Rattus norvegicus: one gene and its partner. The protein of the gene in region 1 purifies or fractionates together with the protein of each later gene. This does not show direct contact. Links are inferred from orthologs where the notes say so. Each region holds a gene or a part of one and is shown on either strand. Other genes may lie near its edges. The genes, in order: Birc3 and Bcl10.

Region 1 (8,956 bases):
TTTCTCTGAGTAAACTGTCATCAAGATTTCAAGATTTCTTTATGTATGACAACAAGGAACACTGTGTCCCCTCCCACCATCCATGACAAATTCATGAATGGATGGAGAAACATCATTGCAAGAAATAACAGTGCCGGGACTGAAGAGATGGCTCAGTGGTTAGAGCACTGACTGCTCTTCTACAGGTCCTGAGTTCAATTCCCAGCCACCACATGGTGGCTCACAACCATTTGTAATGGGATCTGATGCCCTCTTCTGGTGTGTCTGAAGACAGCAACACTGTACTCACACACAGACACACACACACACACACACACACACACACACACACACACACTAAATCTTAAAAAAGAAAGAAAGAAAGAAAGGAAGGAAGGAAGGAAGGAAGGAAGGAAGGAAGGAAGGAAGGAAGAACAGAGAACAGTAGCAAGCAAAAGGCCAAAACCCAACTGCTGGCTCTGTATGCATTTCCAGTGCTGTAGAAGAAGCTGTAGTGGTTTGAATGGGAATGGCCGCACAGACGCTTTGTTTGAAAGCTGGGCCCTTGGGGAGTGACACTATTAGGAGGTGTGGCTTTGTTGGAGGAAATGTGTCACTGTGAGGGTGGAGCTTTGATAATGGACTGAACCTCTGAAACTGTAAGCCAGTTCCAATTAAGTGTTGTCCTTGGTCATGGTATCTCTTCACAGCAATGAAACCCTGAGACCAAAGATTAAATCTCACTTCAACTCCTGACTTTTTATGGTGTCACTGGAGATTCAAACTCAGATCCTCATGACTTTGTGCCAAGCACATTCCTGATTCACCATCTCCTTAGCCCCAACATTTAAGAATTCCTAAAAAGATATTGTAGGAATCTGGGTGTGATTAACCTGATCAGTATCATTTTAAAAAAGTTTAATTTTATTGCTTTATTAATTTTTCCTCACGAATTCTTTATAAAAGTTCCATATCCCTAAAATGTCATCCAATAAATAACGGGAATTTCTATACATAAAACACATGGAAATCTGTGCTCCCAGTTCTTAAAGCAACTTGAGAAGATTCTAGTTTCTGAATCATAAATGCCAACATTGTAAATCTTCTCTGAGAATTTCAGGACTCCAGGTAATACCTGCGTTTCGGGAATAAGAATGAAACCCTCTCTCATGGCATCTGAATATACAAACAGACATGCTTTAGATGCAGATAGTATGAAAATACTTTACTGAAAACAGTTCTCTGAGTTGGGAATAAATAGCACTTTTAAGGAAACCAATTAAAATTATTATGTAAGTAATCCATTCTTTGAGTTTAGACAAAAGGTTTTTTTTCCCCATGTTTTTCATTTTTACACTATTTAGAGGCAGTGTCTCATGTCATCCAGGCCGGCCTCAAGTTCCTTATGGAGCTGGGAGTGACATTGAACTTCTGCTCCTCCTGGCTGGGGTCACAACCGTGGACCATCAGTCCAGTCCTGTTCAGGAGAGAAATGTGCGCACTGTGCCCTTGATAGTCCCTCTGCAGATGGGACACTTCCTCAGAGAGGGGGCACATTCTTTGCACACGACCAGATGGCCACAGGGAATGAAAACGAGGGACACCTCTCGGTCCATACACACTTTACACGTTCTCTCTTCCTGGAGTTTCCGCAACTGTTCTTCCATCGGTAGAGCTGTGAAGAGGGAGATATTATTTTGTTTTAAACATAGCCTGACTTCAAACTCTGATCCTCCCACCTCCAGTTTCCAAATGCTGGTCACACAGCATATGATGCCATGTAAGGGAAGAGAAAAGGATTTTTTGTTTGTTTGTGCACTGCTGGGATTGAACCCAGTACTTTGCTGAGGTTAAATAAGCACTCTACCACCAAGCCATCCTAGTTGGGGCAAGAAAAGGATTTTTTAAGCAATCCTTAAGCAATCTGCTTGTCCTCTAGTGAAATCCAGAGAAAATGAAAACATTGATTTCTGCAGATTTAAAGTCTTAGCGCCATTACCTGCAATGTCATCTGTGGGAAGACTCCTAATGTTCTGTCGCACTAGGGAAGGAAAGGGGATAAGCGTCAGTATGGAATCAGAGTTGCTATTTACATTCTACAGATTCTATTTATCTAGTATTGATGTTTATTTGAGACACAGAATTATTTTGTAACCCAAGCTGGCATCAAAATCACTATCCTCCTGCTTTGGCCTCCTGGATGCTATGATTGCAGGTATATTTATTTATTTGTTTATTTACTTATTTGTGTGTGTGTGTGTGTGTGTGTGTGTGAGAGAGAGAGAGAGAGAGAGAGAGAGAGAGAGAGAGAGAGAGAGAGAAAGAGCGAGCGCGAGTGCACATGGGGCAAGTGGGCAGTTCTGGGATCAAACTCAGGTCATAGCTTACAGGACAAGCACTTTTACCTGCTGAGTGATCTCACCAGCTCACCTGAACACACACTACCACACACAGCAGATTTCAAACACTTTACACTTGGAGCAAAAACTCAACAAAAGCCCTTAATCTTGTGTAATTCCAATATATACATTGGACTGACTCCTTTTCAAGAATCTCCAATTATTAATAAGAGCCTGTTTGCAATTGACCTAGAAAGTTCCCCCAAATAATTTCCTAGCACTCACCAAATATATCTCTGTACAACCCAGGGTCGATTTCCTGCAGGGAGTTTCTGAATGAGGTCGCTGCGGTGTTTCCTTTCGCTAATACAGTATCGATCAGTGTCCTTGCCTGCAAGGTGTGTGGTTTCTGTTTTACGGCATCGTACTCCTGTTCGGTAATGACCCTGGCACTTAGGAGGCAATCCAGGATTGGTGTCACAGGCGTCAAATGTTGAAGAAGCACCATTTTGTTCTTCCGGATTAATGTTAGATCATCTTTATGAAGAGAGAGAGAAACACGCTCAAAGTCTGCTCACAACTGCCTTCCATACCTGCATCACGCATGAAGGAGATCATGTGTATTTGTCTGAAGATCTCATGTAACTCAGCTTGGCCACCAATTCACTGTGACATTAAACTTCTGATTTTTCTGCTGCTACCCTCAGAGTGCCAGCTTTCTAGACAGATGGCTCCAGCCCACCTTAGGGGGCGCTAGGGAGTAAACCCAGGGCTTTGTGGCTGCTAGGCAGGCACTCTACAAATGATTGATCTCCATTTTAGCACCCTACTCTCTACTATATCCATAGAATGCTGAATACTAATAAAGGCAGTCTGAAAATTATCTTAGGAGAGACAGTTAGATTTTAGATCATTGACCTTGTCACTAGGACACTGACATAGAACCACATTGCGGGCAGAAGAAATTGTGCTCAGTTAAAGAATCAGTCATACATGAGCATTTTGTTTTCTGTTTGGTTTTGTCTTTTAATGTAGCTTCCTTCTCACCGCAATGCTGAGGATGTCCTTGGATTTCTGCTGCCACTGCAAAGATGTGAGGACTATAGTAGGCAGGCCCTCCACACCGGGGTTATACACAGGCGTGGCACGTGCCTGGCAAGCACTCTGTCGATTAAGTTGCACTGACAGCCTTGCTGGGTTTTGAGTCTCATTCTGCTCTAACAGACCAGGCTAGTCTGGAACTCACTAGACAGACCAGACTCAGCAGGCTGAAGCAGAAAGGTCATGAACTCAAGACCGGTCTGAGCTACACAGTAAGATTCTGTCTCAAAAGTCTGCTTTCTGGTCTGCTGAGGCTCTGGTCCACATTCGGGAAAGAGACCAGGCTCTTATCTAGGTCAGAGTGTGGATAACAATCAGAACAAGGACAGGGCTGCACACGCCCAGAGGAAGGTGGCTCTGAGCACAGAATGGAGAACAGAGTAGCAAACACTGAGGATGGAGAACCTGCCTGGAGGAATGGGAAGCAGAACCCAAGGACTCCATTGGGGTTGTGAGGGAAGATGGCACTTGTGTGGGCAGGTAGGTTGAGCTTAAACGTGAGCCTAAGCCAGGCGTGGTGGCCCATGTCTGTCAGCACGGCCCTTGGGAGGTAGACGAAGGAAAATCAGCATTCAACTACATAGCAAGTTTTTTATATCAAGAGTGTGCTTGGGTCAGTGAGATGGCTCAGTGCAGAAATCACGCAATGTTAAAGGCTAATGTCATGACTCTGATACTTAGTGGAATCCAAAAGATGTGGAAGCAAAGTTCTCACTCTAATAAGATGTCCTCTGACCTCTGTCCTGTCATTGCAACCTGCCCCCACACACACACGCACATATACCTGTTCAACAATTAAGAACTGATTTGGTAATTACTATGTTGAAATCATACTCATGAGGGTAAAATTTGTGCTTTAAAGGGAAAACATAAAGGCTTATTAATTGAGAAGATCTGTATACACATGCATAAAATAAAAATCATGGGGTTGGGGATTTAGCTCAGTGGTAGAGCGCTTGCCTAGCAAGCGCAAGGCCCTGGGTTCGGTCCCCAGCTCTGAAAAAAAAAAAAAAAGAAAAAAAAAAGAAAAAAAATCACACAGATAGTATGATTGTTTTGGACTTTTAAAGGCTATAAGAACCAGGGGTTTTTGTTTTTTGGGGTTTTTGTTTGTTTCATATTTTTAAGTCCCATGAGTAATTATATGCAAAGCTAACAACTCATCCTAAGAATTTAAATTAAAAAAATAAAAGTTTGCAGGCTTAGAGAGAAGACTCAGTAGTTAAGAGCAGTGACTGCTCTTCCAGAGGACCTGGGTTCAATTCCCAGCACCCACTTGGTGACTGACCACTGTCTGCAACACTAGTTCCAGGGGATCCACCGCCCTCTTCTGGCCTCCATAGTCATTGCACAGACACATGCAGGCAAGATGCCTATATACACAAAATAAAAATAAATAAATCTAAAATATGTTAACATTTGCCCAACATATACATTTTTTAATTTAATGAGTAATTCTGGTATATTTTTAATAGTGTGTGTGTGTGTGTGTGTGTGTGTGTGTGTGTGTGTGTGTGCGTGCCAGAGCATGCAGTAGAGGCCAGGAAAACCTGTGTGAGTAAAGTCAGTTCTCCCTTCTTCCATCAAGTGGGTTTTGGCTCTCAAGCTATGGTGGTTCGGTTCAGCAGGAAACGCCCTTACCTGCTGAACTGTCTCCCTAGTCCTCCACAATGCACTTTATTGTGAGGAATCTATTTGCAGAATATGAGTCTAGAATATGAAACATAAGAAAGGCTGGGCTGGGTGGAAAGGCATCTTTTATGAACTTGCAGAGGTGACAGCACATCTCTCGGGAGAAAGGCCATGTAAATCTGTACCTGACTCCTCCTCCTCGGCCTCCTGCTCCGTCTGCTCCTCTCTCATCTCATCTTCTGCATCCAGTAGGCCTATCACGAGGTCACTGACCGTCCTGTAGTTCTCACCAGTGGCCAGGATCTGTCGCTGAACCGTCTGTCTCACCAGGCTCCTACTGAAGCCCATGTCCAAGGCTGCTTTAACCACAGGTGTGTTCATCATCACTGCATCTTCCCAATTCTCTCCAGGGCCCAGATGCACAACTGTACGGAAAGGGGGATTTAACAGATATCAGCAGGCCCACACACCTTTCTGTTGTGGTTGTCCTTCTAGGCCAGTCCAGCCTCAAGCTTATGTAACCCGGGCTAATCTCAATTCATGCCAATTCTCCTGCCTCAGCCACCAAGCGCTACGCACAAACCAACATGCCTGGCTTTATAACTAGAAGGTTACAGCAATATCAAAACCATAAAGAACAAAAAACATACACTGCACAGTATGCTCTTTGCTAACTTTAAAATGACATATGTTCAGTCATTAAAGTCAGAATATAAAATACTATTGTGATTAGCGCTACTCGGGAGGAGAGAGAACCAAACGTCAGGGATCGATCAGTCCACCAGAATCAGGGGCTTCATTCTCTATATTCAATAAACTAATGGGCTTTCTATAGCAAATATTAATTTCTACATATTTGTTTCTTTTGTTAGCACTTATTAGCTGTCTACAATGTTTTCGTTGTGATATATTCATATATCACATACCTTGAAATCTCTAGTTCCCCGCAAATGGCATGGTTTCACACTGTAATTTATGGCTGAGTCATTTTCTTTCTTTTTGTTTGTGGGGCACAGAGTCTCGGCATAAAGACAAGGATCTTGCCTCAGCTTCCCAAATGCTGGCTGTGCACAACGTATATCTACCCATCTGCCGTGAGCACCTTGGCTCAATCCATAACTTCACTACTGTGCTTTTGCACTTCTAAAGAAAACCACTGTTGCCCCTCAGCCCAGCTACCCCAGTGTCCCAGAGTACTGCCCACTCCCTTTCAGTCAAGAGTACAATCCAATGACTTAAATGCAAACCCGGGTCATACTCCTCGAATCTAACTGGGGCTTAAACACTGTGACCCGGCACTCTGCCCACCTCTTCCTACTCCCAGGCCACAAGCATTCTGCACTGAAACTCAGTTTCAGTTTGTTTGTAGATACTTATTTTATTTATATAAATACAGGAGCCCTTTACAGATGGTTGTGAGCCACCATGTGGTTGCTGGGAATTGAACTCAGGACCTCTGGAAGAATACTCACTCGTGCTCTTAACCCCTGAGCCATCTCTCCAGCCCCAAATGATGGACAGCTCTTGAGGCAGATAAATTCTGCCTTCAATGCTGCTGATTCATCGCGCTGGCCTCACATGGTTATCTGTCTGCCTGCAGCTCCCTCTTCTGGCTAGACAAAATCCTTGCTCTGTTCTTTGAATATCCTTATTCCATGTTGCTTAGCCTCTGTTGTCTTTGCCCAGAGGGTGCTCTTGTCAGTTAACTGATTCCTTTTCTTCTTGAGCTCTCTGCTAAGACAAGTGTTTCCTCCAGAGAGCCTTTTCTTTCATTTTTTTAGTTTGCTTTATGTTTTGTTTGTTTGTTTGTAGAATGGATGTGTGTACCACAGCATGTAGGTGGCCAGCAGACAACTTTCAGGAGTCAGTTTTCGCCTTCCATCATGTGAGTCCAGGGGCTACAACTTGGGCTGAGCCATCTGCCAGTCCTGTTTTGTTCTTCTAAGACAAGGTCTCAGTAGGTTACCCAGGCTGGCCCGGAACTCACTGTATAACCCGGGCTGGCTGGGAATGTATGATCCTTAACCTCCTTAGTGCAGAGATTGCAGACCCTGCCCCAGACAGATGCTACATCTGGCTTCCAGGAAGCCTTTTCTATCTCCCAGACTTAGATATTTGTCTCCTCGATTTCTTCTGCAGATCCTGTCCTATTATCTGAGCATTCATCTGGCCCCCAATGTCATTAGCTCACGAGGGCAGAGTCACATGTTTATCTTGTTTTCCATTCTTTCCTTTGAACAACATCAACAGCAAAACTCCACAATAAAAATGCTATTGCACTGAAGTTGAAGAGATGACTCCATGGTCAAGAGCACTGACTGCTCTTCCAGAGGACCCAGGTTTAATTCCCAGCATTTAATGGCAGCTCACAAGGACCTGACACCTCACCCAAACATACTTGCAGACAAAACACCAATGCATATAAATGAAAGTAAACAAATGATTAAAATGTATTGCACTGAACACTAAAACGTAGGGTCAAGGCCCCTGTTCAGATGATTGTTCCGCCCTCTCAGGTCCATTGACAATCTGAGCCTAGGGGCCCAGTGAAAGGAGGGGAGCTCTGTGCCCCCTCTCTGCGAACAGGAAGAGCATGCCAGCAGCAGGAGGCACAGGACGTTCATTCCCACAACTGCTCACTGTCAGGAGGCAAGATGAATGTAGTTTGTTTAACCTGTAGGTGCTTGCTGCTGTGGGGTGGAGCTGGGGAAAGAGGTTATGATTGGCATCCTCAGGTCATAGGTTCAATCCCCGGGACCATTAAAAACAACTATGCATAGAGACCCAAGATCCATACTTACACACGCTGATTCCATCTATGAGTTCTGAAGCATGAACTAAACACTTGCAATCTGTTGCACACTGAAGTTTGATAGACAGTAACAGGATGTCTTAATCATACATCACATTTTCAATTAGAAGTTAGAAATCCACATGAAAGTTCATTTCCTATGATAACCTTTCAACTGTTCTTATTTCTAGGACAGGCTCTCACATAATTCAGTAGGGCACAGAGCACATGGTCCTTCCACTTCCGCTCTCCAAACACTGGACTCCAGCTGCACCCAGCTTCCCCTTCACCTTAATACAGAACGGATCGCTTTAACACAGGAATTATATACACGTACTTGCTGCCTCTCCAGTCTCATCCTCTGGGGAGTCTGACGTAGATAATAGCTACAAGAAAAAGTACACATGTTAAAATACACACAGCATCCTAGCACTGCACTGAAAATGAGCGACAGACCTGCTCCATTTAACCTACTGCCACCTGACTTGGTCACCAGCAGGGCATTTTCTCAGTCAGAAGCAATACCTCATTTACACTGAATAGAAAAGTGAGGCTCTACACTAACAGCTTCCTATGGAGAGTGTGCCCCAGTGAGGAACCTCTGTCCTCACTGGGCAGGCAGACTGGGTTTCCTGGGGGCACAATGCTGGCCCTGAGTCCACAAAGCTCATGTTCTCTAGTCACCTGCTGGGACAGAGTCCATGCCAGTCAGACCCGCTGGCCATCGCAAACACGTTTTCTGGACCTCAGACACTGAAATAAGATCACATTAGCTTTTCTAAGGAGCAGTTAACAAATGCCTTCTCAAATCATTTAAGAAAAAATTATACAGTGAAGTTGTTTTCCTTAAATTTTTATTTAATTTATTAATTTCAGAGTTTAACTTATTGTTAGTTGATTAGACGATAGCTTAAAGAGCTAATAGTTACAGATCTGTTTTTCTCAAAAGAGAAGTACCTTGCACACTTCTGTTGAGGGTTGTGAGAAGAAAGGAGGGTGTGTTTTAAAACAACTTTCCCTTTTCCACCGAAATATTATTCCAATTGATTTTTACAAATAAAATTTTAAAAATAATTTTGCAAACTAATAATTTTAAAAAGTAAAAAATTAAATA
Region 2 (10,399 bases), on another chromosome or scaffold:
GCGCAGGATGACCCAGTCAGAGTACCGTTGAAAATCCATTCAGGACCGCAGGGCTCCTTCCCCAGCCAGTCCTGAGTTGTTCATTTTCTTGTCTAAGTTGGATGGCCACATTGTAGGTTGATGTCTATATGCAGGTGAGGGCTGGCACCGGTCAAGGCCCATGACTGGACAGCATAAAAGTAAGGCAGAGACAAAGTTTTTGTAAGGTAGGAGAGAAGAGGAAAAAAGAGAGAAGAACCAAGACGGAGGGAGAGAAGGACGACCCAGATCCGGGTGGTCTTAAATGGCCATAGGTAGTTATGAATATTTCATAAGGTATGGTTTTCTATAGGTCAATTTATCTTATCTGGGTGGGTGGTTTATATCTTTATCAATTGGGTGGATGTATTGTAAATTGAGAATTTAACATATAAATCTGATTGCTAAATTACAGCATGTCGAGTCTTGATTGTAAGGGGTTGCTGGGAGTTTGTACTATAACTACCAGGGGACAGTTGCTGGGAGTGTGGGCAGCGTCCGAGAGAGGGAGCTGTGATGGATCAGGCGCTGCTGGGATCTCTAGAGTCATAACTTTACCGGTTTGCAGGGAATGTGAACAGAGTATCCTGATTTTACCGGGTAGCTGGGACCAGAGAGTTCCTGGCCGGCAGAGAGACAACAGGGAGAGGGCAGCTAGCAATGGGGGTGGAGAGACCGCCAGGGATAGAGGACAGCTAGAGGTAACATGGAGTGGTGCCACGCTAGAGTCCTAGAACCAGCTGCCGCTGAGATGAAGGTACCCTACAGATGCCCTGCAGTCCTACAGTGCCAGCAGTAATGTGGAATAAAAGTTCCATTTTTTAATATTTACTGCAACAACACATGATAACTTTTCTGGATATGTTCTTCCTAGTTTCTACCTAGACAACAGACCTGAATACATTAAACATGTCTGCCTTGCTCCAGGGTCTGCCCAAGTATCCTCTCTTAATAATTGTGTCCCGACAGTCAGCTACTGCTAGTGATTAAGAACAGTAGTAGCCTTGTTATCAGACATGAGTAGGAACCTGATTCTGCTACCTGCTAGGAGGGATGGCCTTAGGCAAATCATGTTTTCTATGCCTCGATTGTTTTCACCTATCAAGTGAAGATAATAAGCCTACCTAGGGGCACAGTTATCGGAATGAAATTATGGAAGTTCAGCCATTTTCACCATTTGGCATTCTCCTGAGCCTCCTTCCTAAGCAAGGCTTCAGAACAGGACTAGAGAGATGGCTCACAGATTAAGAGCACTGACTGCTCTTCCAGAGGTCCTGAGTTCAAATCCCAGCAACCACATGGTGGCTCACAACTACCTGTAATGGGATCGGAGGCCCTCTTCTGGTGTGTCTGAAGACAGCCACAGTCATATACATGAACAGTCATATACTCATATACGTGAAATAAATAATTCTTTTAAAAAAGAAAACAAAAGAAGTCGGACAGCATCTCCCCAAAATTCACAACCACTGGAACCTCAGAACGTGATCTGCTTTGAAAACACATTCATGCGCTGTGTCCCTTATCAATGAGGAAACATCCCGAGAAACTTGCTAGGCGATGCCATCACTATCCCAGCATCAGAGGCTATGATCTCACTGCCGTGCGCTTGCATCGGGTATCTCATGTTCCAGAGTAGGTTGTCCGTATACTTGTTAAGATGGAAATTCAGGTCCATGTTAGCGGTTAGGAAGAGGCACTTATTGCAAAGAATGGACGGGTTTGTTTGCTTGAAGCCGAGCCTTCAGAGTCTGACCCTGTGATTTAGCAGGAAAGGGGAAATGAGTTTGCTAATGGAGGGATGGGACTGCATTAGAAAGGCAGGGTTTTAGAATCGCAGGCCATGGTCATGCACAAGACTGAAGAAGGAGGATGGCTCGAATCCAGCTCAACACTTGAACAATACAGACCTTATTCCGAAGGAAAATTGCTTGACCCTTTTTGTGATGATGCTGAGTGCTTACCACGATGCCCTATGCCTGGGTGGCTGGAGACTAAAACGTCCAGCTGTTTCTCTGACTTCCACCCTTGCTTCTGCACTCTACTCTCTTCTTATATTTTTGGATGTGAGCCTAGCCTTTAATGGCTGAGCCATCTCTCCAGCCCTGCTCTCTTCTTGATGGCTACAAAACCAAGTCCACTGCCCCGGCCCCTCTCATTCAGACGCTTTCCCCTCTCTCACTGCTCCCCCCTCGGCCTGGTCTCTACCCCCTGGGGTCTAGATTAAAGAGGTAGCAGGCTAGCTTGCAGAACAGTGAAAGCCAGCCTCAAAGCATAGATTGCATCTGTCCCTCTGCTCCTCTGAAACCTCGGGTGGCTTTCCTTCTGACTCAGAGTAAACCTGTATGACTCAGAGCGAAGTCAGATTAAACTCTGCCCGTAGCACACAGAGTTCACCTCCCCCGTTGTCACCCAGCCTCTTTATTGCAGGGCTCTCAACCCAGAGCTATTTCTCACTATGTCCTCGGGCTCCTCCCTCACTTCCTGCAGGTGGGAAATGTATCCTTTGTCTCAACGGGGTCTCCATCTCCACCCTTCCGATTTCCCTGCTTTACTTTTCCTCTTAGCATTTACGAGATTCTAGCATATTAAGTACCTTACACACAGAACTTTGCAAATGTCCACCTTTTCCACCCCAAACAAACACATGCTGTAATATAAATTTCATGAGGAAACATGTTATTTTTGTTCTTCTGCTTGTTGGAGACAGGGTCCTACTATGTAGCACAGGTTGGCTCAGTAACTTACTAAATAGCCCAGAATAACCTTGAATTTAGACAATCCTACCTCAGCCTCCTAGGGGCTTACAACTATGTCCAATGTTTTTATTTTGAGACAGGATATTGCTCTCTACAGGGTTCAAACACAAAACCCATAAATCCAAGATGTGAAAAAAAATTGCAAAAAAGAAAAAAAAAACCCTCCTAATGTTTCAAGTAAGTTTACAATGTAGTCCTGCTTATAGCTGGGCCAGATGCAGGCAGCTGGTTGAACAATACATCTAGCTAGTTTGTGCCGCCACACCCTAGCTCGAGGAAAACGGTGTTTGGTTTGTCTTATTCATCAAAACCTAGAAGAAGATCTGGGTGTAGTTCAGTACTTGAACAGACACTTGCTACAGGAAAGAGCAAATGATTAAGCAAATTGGGTTATAGCAAGATGCAGGATGACTAAGGGCACAGAAAAACTCTAGTAAACTAGACATCAGTGTGAAAAAACACCTGGTATAATGTGAATACCAGGATTCCAGGGCTCTGAGCAGAGCTATGGAGATGTGGCTCTATGCCTCTTGTGGTTCTTTGATTTTAGATAGATTCCTGTTACCTTTGGTCGTCTTGTCATTTCAATCTGTGCTTGTAGATTTACCGCATTGGTCACATAATCGTTTTCTGCCCAGGACTCTATGTGGAGCTCCTTATCCACTATGTGCCGCACAAGCTACGAGTTAAAATACCATTCTGAAAATAGCCATTTGGCCTCCAAAAAGATAACTTCCCCATCACGACATACCTAGCACTTACAGTGATAAAGGCTAACAGTAAACGAGAGTGCAACTGTGCACCGAGTAGCTTCAGAGCCTTAAATATGCTCCTAGAGACCCTAGAAGCTTTTTAAATGTATCTTTATTGCATAGATTAATACGGAGAAATGTTCCTAACGAATAGAGACTTAAAAGTACCTGAACACTACCTCTGCTGCTAAATTGATGGGATTGCAGTTAATTATTAAATCTTAAACACCTTTTTCGTTTTTTTATTGTGTTTTGTTATTTTGTTTTCTGCACTCAATATCTTCTTGTTTCTGTCTCCCAAGTTCTAGGTGGCAAATGGCAGTAGGCCCCGGACCAGGCTTTCAAACATTTCAATACTGGTTATATTATGTTATATATTATACATTTGTGTATGATCAAGCAATTGTAAAACCTGGCCCAGCACAACAGGAAATTGTTCCGCAACAGAGGGAGAAGCAAACCAAAATGCCCTGGCCTACTCAGCCCACACTCTACCCAAAAGAGGAGTCTGCGAGGGCGGGGAGATCCCGCTACACTGAGCGGCCAACGCCCCGCCCACGGAAACGAATCCTTCTCTTGGGGCCAATCCGCAATCCTAGTAAATAACAAGCGGGCGTAGTTAGAGGCAAGGCTGCTGTGGGCGGAGCCACTTCGGAAGAAGGGACGAAACCTAGGGCTAGTAATGATTGGCTGGCACGGAAGTGGGCGGGGCCTGCAGGTAGACCCGCCTCGCCGAAGGGTGGTGCCTAAGTTAGGATGGACTCTGAGTGCGGCGCCGCAGGCCCCGGAGGCGGAGCCGGAAGTGGGGCGTTGAGGTCTCCTCCTCCGCGTTCCGTGAACCGGCGGTTCCCCCGCTTCTGTTCCTAGTCCTCCCAAGTCACAGCCCGATTCCCGGAGGCCCGAGCCCTTAGCCAGGGCGGGGTGGCGCGGGCCGAAAGGACGCCATCCCGGCCTCGGCCATGGAGGCTCCCGCGCCGTCTCTCACGGAGGAGGACTTAACTGAAGTGAAGAAGGACGTGAGTAGCTCCGCCGGGCTGGACGCAGCGGGGCGGGCGGGGGCGGAGGAAAGCGGAAACCCAGAGCCGAGCGACGGGGAACCTCAGGTCGGAAGAGCGCCAGGTCCCGGCACAGCACGACCCGCCTGCTTCCCCGGAGCTGGCTTCAAATGATCCACCAGAGACCTGGGAGTCCACGGTTAAACCTGTCAACGCCGGCTTGGGTTTATCTTTGCTATCGGCTTCTCGCTGGTGGCTTTCCATCCTGTTGATCCCCGACTCCATCCCATCCCCGAGGGAGCTGCTAGGCTAGGGAGCGGTCCGAATCTGTCCACAGCGGGCTCTGGACCAGGTATGCCCCAGGCATAGAGCAGATAGGTGAAACTCTATACGGGGGGCTGCGGAAAGCTCGCCCTTTGAAAGGACGCCCTGGAATTCCCCTAGTAATCAGACGCCCACATATTTAAATGAAGGGGATGTGCTTACTTCTCGCTGAGACTTGACTCTCTCAGGTAAACGTTGAAAATAGTCATAGCTAAATTGGACTCTCCTGCTTAGACCACGTAGAACTTCGCATACACATTAATATTTGAGAATATGGCTTTAAACACAACGTGCTTCGTTTTTCATTCCCTTTAATTACTTATTTTGCCAGGAAAAAAAATCAAATGAGTACCATTTACATGATATATATGGATTCACTTTAAAAACAGTAATTTGTTCGTACCTAGCACCGCAGTGCTGGTGAAAAGTCGTCTTTTCGAACTTGACTGCAAGTTGTTGCAGATGTCCGCGTGCTTCTGATCTCTTTTTCTACTATACCTTACCCCTTGTAAAGGTTTATTGCACTGTACCCAACCCATAATTACAGCTGGACTAGCTCAGTACCAGAAGGAAAAGGTCCAACTGGCATTACTGCCATCGTTTCCGTGTTCAGGGGAATTGGTAGGGCACTTACTGTATGGGAAACTTTACATTTCTACTTGAGACTAGGTCTTTGATAACCACTCCGGCCTTAAGATGCCAGTAAAACCGTAACCTTAAAATATGGTAGCTGCGGTCTCCGTTGTCGGACACAGTTTTGAATTTTCTCACAATCATTAAGGGAGAGAATTGCTTTTCATTTTGTAGCTGGCAAAACAAGCCAAGACCTGAGTATAGATAGAAGAGTGCTGCAGACCTTTGTTTCTGCCCATCGACGTCTATCCATTCTGACAGTTTCAGGTCAGACCTGTATCAGCTGTCCATAACCTTAGAGAAACTTTAGATACACCTTAGGATGTCTATAAAAACAGTTTTCTTAGGTAGTTACCCAGTTATTTTTTAAACTGCTTATAACAAGCTTAAAAATTTATCCGCAGTTCTTGAACTTCCTTTTTTCTCAACTCCAGGCCTTTATTTCTACCAGAACCAAGCTATAACATCATACATTTGGTTGTTGTTTTTCTGTGTAACTCTGGCTGTCCTGGAACTCATTCTGTAGACGAAGCTGGCCTCAACTTGGAGATCTTCCTTCCTCTGCCTCCCAAGTGTTGGGATTAAAGGCATAGCCACCACTGCTTGCCATGTTCTTTTATTTTCAGAACTGGAACTTTTCGTTATCCTTCCCCCAAAACTGCTTGGTGTTCCTTCTGTGTTATCTGCTTGGATAAATGGTGGGAAGTTGTTTCCATGGGGCTCTGTCTGACTCAGGGTTTGCTTTCTTTGGCTTCTGTTGCCTGTGGGTCAGCCATAGTCCAAAAATACTTAATGGGAATTTGCTACATTTATAGTGTTACAGATTGAGCACCATGATAAAATCCTGGCCAGGGGCATGAGTTGCACCTTTTCCCCAGTACTGTGTGTCACCTGCCTGTTAGTCTCTTCATAGCTAGCTGTGTGGGTTATTACATTGGTTTTGATGGAGGAGAGCTTGGGATGGGGTTGGTACTGTGAAGTTTTGCACATCCATTGAGAATCTTGGTCCATGTCCTCCCATGCTAGCTGGGAGCGAGTCTTCAGTGCTCCTCCCCTTCTTCATGTTTATTTAACATGCCCCTATTTTGGTTGAATTTGTTCCATTTTAACAAATAGAGATAACTTTATATTCTGAGTTGATAATGTAACAGTTAAACTAAGAACTAAGGGACTAGAGAGATGGCTTAGCAGTTAAGAGCACTGACTGCTCTTCCAGAGGTTCTGAGTTCGATGCTCACAACCATCTGTAATGGGATCCAATGCCCTCTTCTGGTGTGTCTGAAGACAGCCACAGTGTGCTCACATAAATAAATAAATCTCTAAAAAAAAAAAAAGCTCAATTTCTTGAATGAAGGAAAATAGCCATAAAATAATAACTTTAAAATAGTATATTAAAATTTTCATTCATCTAAAGCACTGTACTTTGAAATGCAGAGTATACAGCAGTAAACAGAACGTCCGTGCTGTTTACCTGCTTCAAACATACAGGTGGTGAAAGCTGAAAAGGATGTCTGTCATTTACACAAGCACATTTGTAAGTTCACTCGGAGCTACGAAGACAAGCACCAGGGCAGTCATTGTACATGCAATTCGATCCTCAGGTGTGCTTGATTGATTCTTAAAGGTTCTAATAGAGAACCTGGGAGAAGAGCATTTGATACAGAGAATTTGACAAGGACCTAAGTGAGGACCTCTGTACGGTCAGAATATTGCAGATGGTAACAAGGTGAAATTAGGAGGGTGGGCTCAGTAAACACTTGAAGAACTTAACTTTCTTCTCTTAGTAGAGTCATGCTAATGAATTAGTGGAGTTTTGTTTGTTCGACTTTTAAAGATCCTTCTGTTTTTTTCTGTAGACCAGGGAAATGAGGGAAAGTTGAAAAGGCCATGAAAGGATTTGAATATACTGAGAGGGGGTGATGGTAGGATCAAGGTGAAGGCCATACACGTGGATGAAACACAAGTTCAGGGTACATGTTAAGAACACAGAAAGGATGGGACTTGGAGGAAGAGTAAGAATGAAGATCAGAAGGCTGGAGAGGTGGCTCAGCGGTTAGAGCACTGCCTGCTCTTCCAGAGGTCCTGAGTTCAATCCCCAGCAACCACATGGTGGCTCACAACCATCTGTAAAGGGATCCAATGCCCTCTTCTGGTCTGAGGACAGCTACAGTGTACTTGTATGCATAAAATAAATATTTTAAAAAAAAACAACAAAAAACAAAAAAAGATCGAAGATCAGAAGAGAGCTCTGAACTAGAGATACAAGTGTTCTATTGAAGATAAGGTGTTTGGGAAGTTTTCAGGTTCTCTCCAGCTGCAGTCCCCGTCACTTGGGAGGAGACAGAAGGACCCCAACTTTGGAGCCAGCTGGGTTATATAGCAAGACCCCAGAGGGGATGAGAGGTGCAGAAAGAAGTTTCTTAGGATAAAAATCAGGACAGTGTCATATCTGTTCACAAGGAAAGTGTTTCTGGAGGAAGGAGTGATGAGCTGTGTACCTTCTCTGAGAAGCCAAAACGATGAAGGTAGGAAGGACCCTTCAATAGAGGGAGTCATTTGTGACTTGGGGGAAAGCATTGGGACACAGTGGAATGATGAGTTGGGAAATGAGATGACCGACGCAGGAATCTGGTGCCACAGCACGGGCGTGTCTACCTTATCCTGGATGTTAAATAAGGCTTTCCAGAGATGACCAGGAACCTCAAACTTAGAAGATGGAGAGGAGCTCGGGGAATGAGAAGAGGAAAGTCAGACACATAGGAACATGAAGGGCTAGTCCTCAATTGTACATGGAGCAGAAGTCCTAGGGTAGGCACTGCTGAACTGAGCTGCACAGGTAGCCAGAGCCATGCCAAGAGTCTTGCCTGCCACAGTCCAGTGGTCACTGGTCACTGAACCTCTACTGTGTACACGCTATCCCAATTAGTCTTCCTGGATGGGCTTAATTCTTTATCCTTATTTTGTCAAGGAAGATCCTGAAGGTGGTTAGGTAATTTGTACCAATTCTCACAGTATGTTAGAGATTCGGGATCAGCAGTTCATCTCATTGCAGAGCCATGCTCTTAGTCATGGCTTAGATTTTTCTTAATATGTATATTTTGACTGCATGAATATGTATATACCATGTGTATCCCTGGTATCCGCAGAGGTCAGAAGATGGTGTCAGATCCTCTGGAACTGGAGTTGTGGAATATTGTGACGCACCATGTGGGTACTTGGAAGCAAACTCATATTGTCTGCAAGAACAAGTGCTCATTACCACTGAGCTGTCTCTCTCTAGCCCAGTGCTCTCAACTATTGTGTTCAGGACTCTCCAATAAGTCATGGGAAGAACACATGTTGGTATAATTTATGAAATGGTTCAGATTTCTATTTTCTCTTGAAAATTATAAATTCTAGTACATGTATGAAGGAATTACAAAATGTTATTTTTCTGTTATCAGTCCAGGATTTAAGGACCTGAGCTAGGACAGTGGCAAGAGTGGTGGTGGGGTCGTGGTGATTGGCTTACTATAACTTACATGGTCTTACTATGACTGGCTTATGTGTGCTATTGCCTAGCAAGAGCCCCATGTTTGCAGTGTTAAAATAGACATGTGAAGTTTACTGTGTAGATAAGTAACTGTGTGTGGAAATTCAGTAAACAAAACCTGTCAGACACCTTCACTGCAGCAACTTTGCAGCCATCATTTACTAAGTAGGCTCTACTGAAATCTTCCACTGCCTTTAACTCTTCATTATAATGTGAGTCAAGTTACTTGCTGTCATCATTGCCCCAACAGGATCGTTCACTGTGTACCCTACAATTTCTTCACACTGCATATATTAATTTATTCCTCTGAGCTGTCACATGAGCAAACAGACGCAGGGGTTAATTTACCCAAGTCCCATGTCCAGTAAATAGAGGCACAGCTATGAAATGACTGGCATCAGATTAATCACCATTTATTAAGACAAACATGGACCTGATTTAAACATTACACAGTACATGCCTGAGAATTAATTACATGCTACTTCACTAATATGCATACCTTTTTTTAAAAAAAAGTTTCAATTAAGGCTAATGAAGAGTGAAGTTAAATACATAGAGACTAGGCTGAGCTGGCTTTCCCTACTGTAGGCTCTCCTCTGCTTCCCCTTTTCTTTATTGTTGTTTTAAGAACTCTCCTGTTCTCTATGTTCCTTTGTACTTCCCTTACTTCTCCCTTCCCTCCCAGAGGACTGACTCAGTGAGGAGTTCCCTTCCTTCCTTCTCCTTCCTCAAGGACTCTCCGTGAGTTGTATCGTTTTCCTAACTGACCTTAAAGCAGAGACATAGCCCTTGGAAGGACTTGGGTTTGTGTGTTTCAGATGGTTTCACACCGAGGTGATGTACTAATTAATAATAAATATGAAACAGCTGCAAATTGTGAGACTCCCCACTAAGTTGTCTTGGTCCTAATTGTGAAATTCTTTACTTGATAGTTACTACAGTGAACAGAAATTTGTTTGTAATCTTTACTCCTGAACTAGGTAACCCTCTGCAGACTTCTTGTTCCTACAGGTCCCTCCTCACAACAGCTAGGTGTTAGTTTTCAGATGTGAAGGGGAGGCAGAACAGAGCAATCTGAGGACTGTGGGACCCGCCTGTGCTGCTGGACATCTTTAGCATGCATTTTAAAGGACCTCCCAACTTTAGAACGTTGCCTCCTACCAGTTAAGATTAGTAACTACTGGGGTTGGGGATTTAGCTCAGTGGTAGAGCGCTTGCCTAGGAAGCGCAAGGCCCTGGGTTCGGTCCCCAGCTCCGAAAAAAAGAACCAAAAAAAAAAAAAAAAGATTAGTAACTACTAACCACTCACCTGTGATTTCCCTGCATGTTACAAAGTAACATTGAAGCGTATCTTCTTTTGTCTCTTAGGCTTTAGAGAATTTGCGA

The links.
Region 2: the proteins of Birc3 (region 1) and Bcl10 purify together in Homo sapiens (affinity purification with western blotting; 5 studies listed by BioGRID and IntAct, with this or other methods). This does not show direct contact. The link is inferred for Rattus norvegicus from reciprocal best matches to the Homo sapiens genes BIRC3 and BCL10.

Annotation. Positions count from the first base shown.
Region 1 is NC_086026.1:13,284,820-13,293,775, forward strand, and holds the end of Birc3 (baculoviral IAP repeat-containing protein 3), read right to left. Parts: intron 8,229-8,956; coding exon 8,180-8,228; exon of another isoform or gene 8,047-8,179; intron 5,477-8,046; coding exon 5,237-5,476; intron 2,856-5,236; coding exon 2,604-2,855; intron 2,021-2,603; coding exon 1,979-2,020; intron 1,655-1,978; coding exon 1,461-1,654; 3' UTR 883-1,460; downstream 1-882. UniProt on the Homo sapiens protein: Multi-functional protein which regulates not only caspases and apoptosis, but also modulates inflammatory signaling and immunity, mitogenic kinase signaling and cell proliferation, as well as cell invasion and metastasis.
Region 2 is NC_086020.1:237,496,818-237,507,216, forward strand, and holds the start of Bcl10 (B-cell lymphoma/leukemia 10), read left to right. Parts: upstream 1-4,363; 5' UTR 4,364-4,488; coding exon 4,489-4,545; intron 4,546-10,381; coding exon 10,382-10,399. UniProt on the Homo sapiens protein: Plays a key role in both adaptive and innate immune signaling by bridging CARD domain-containing proteins to immune activation.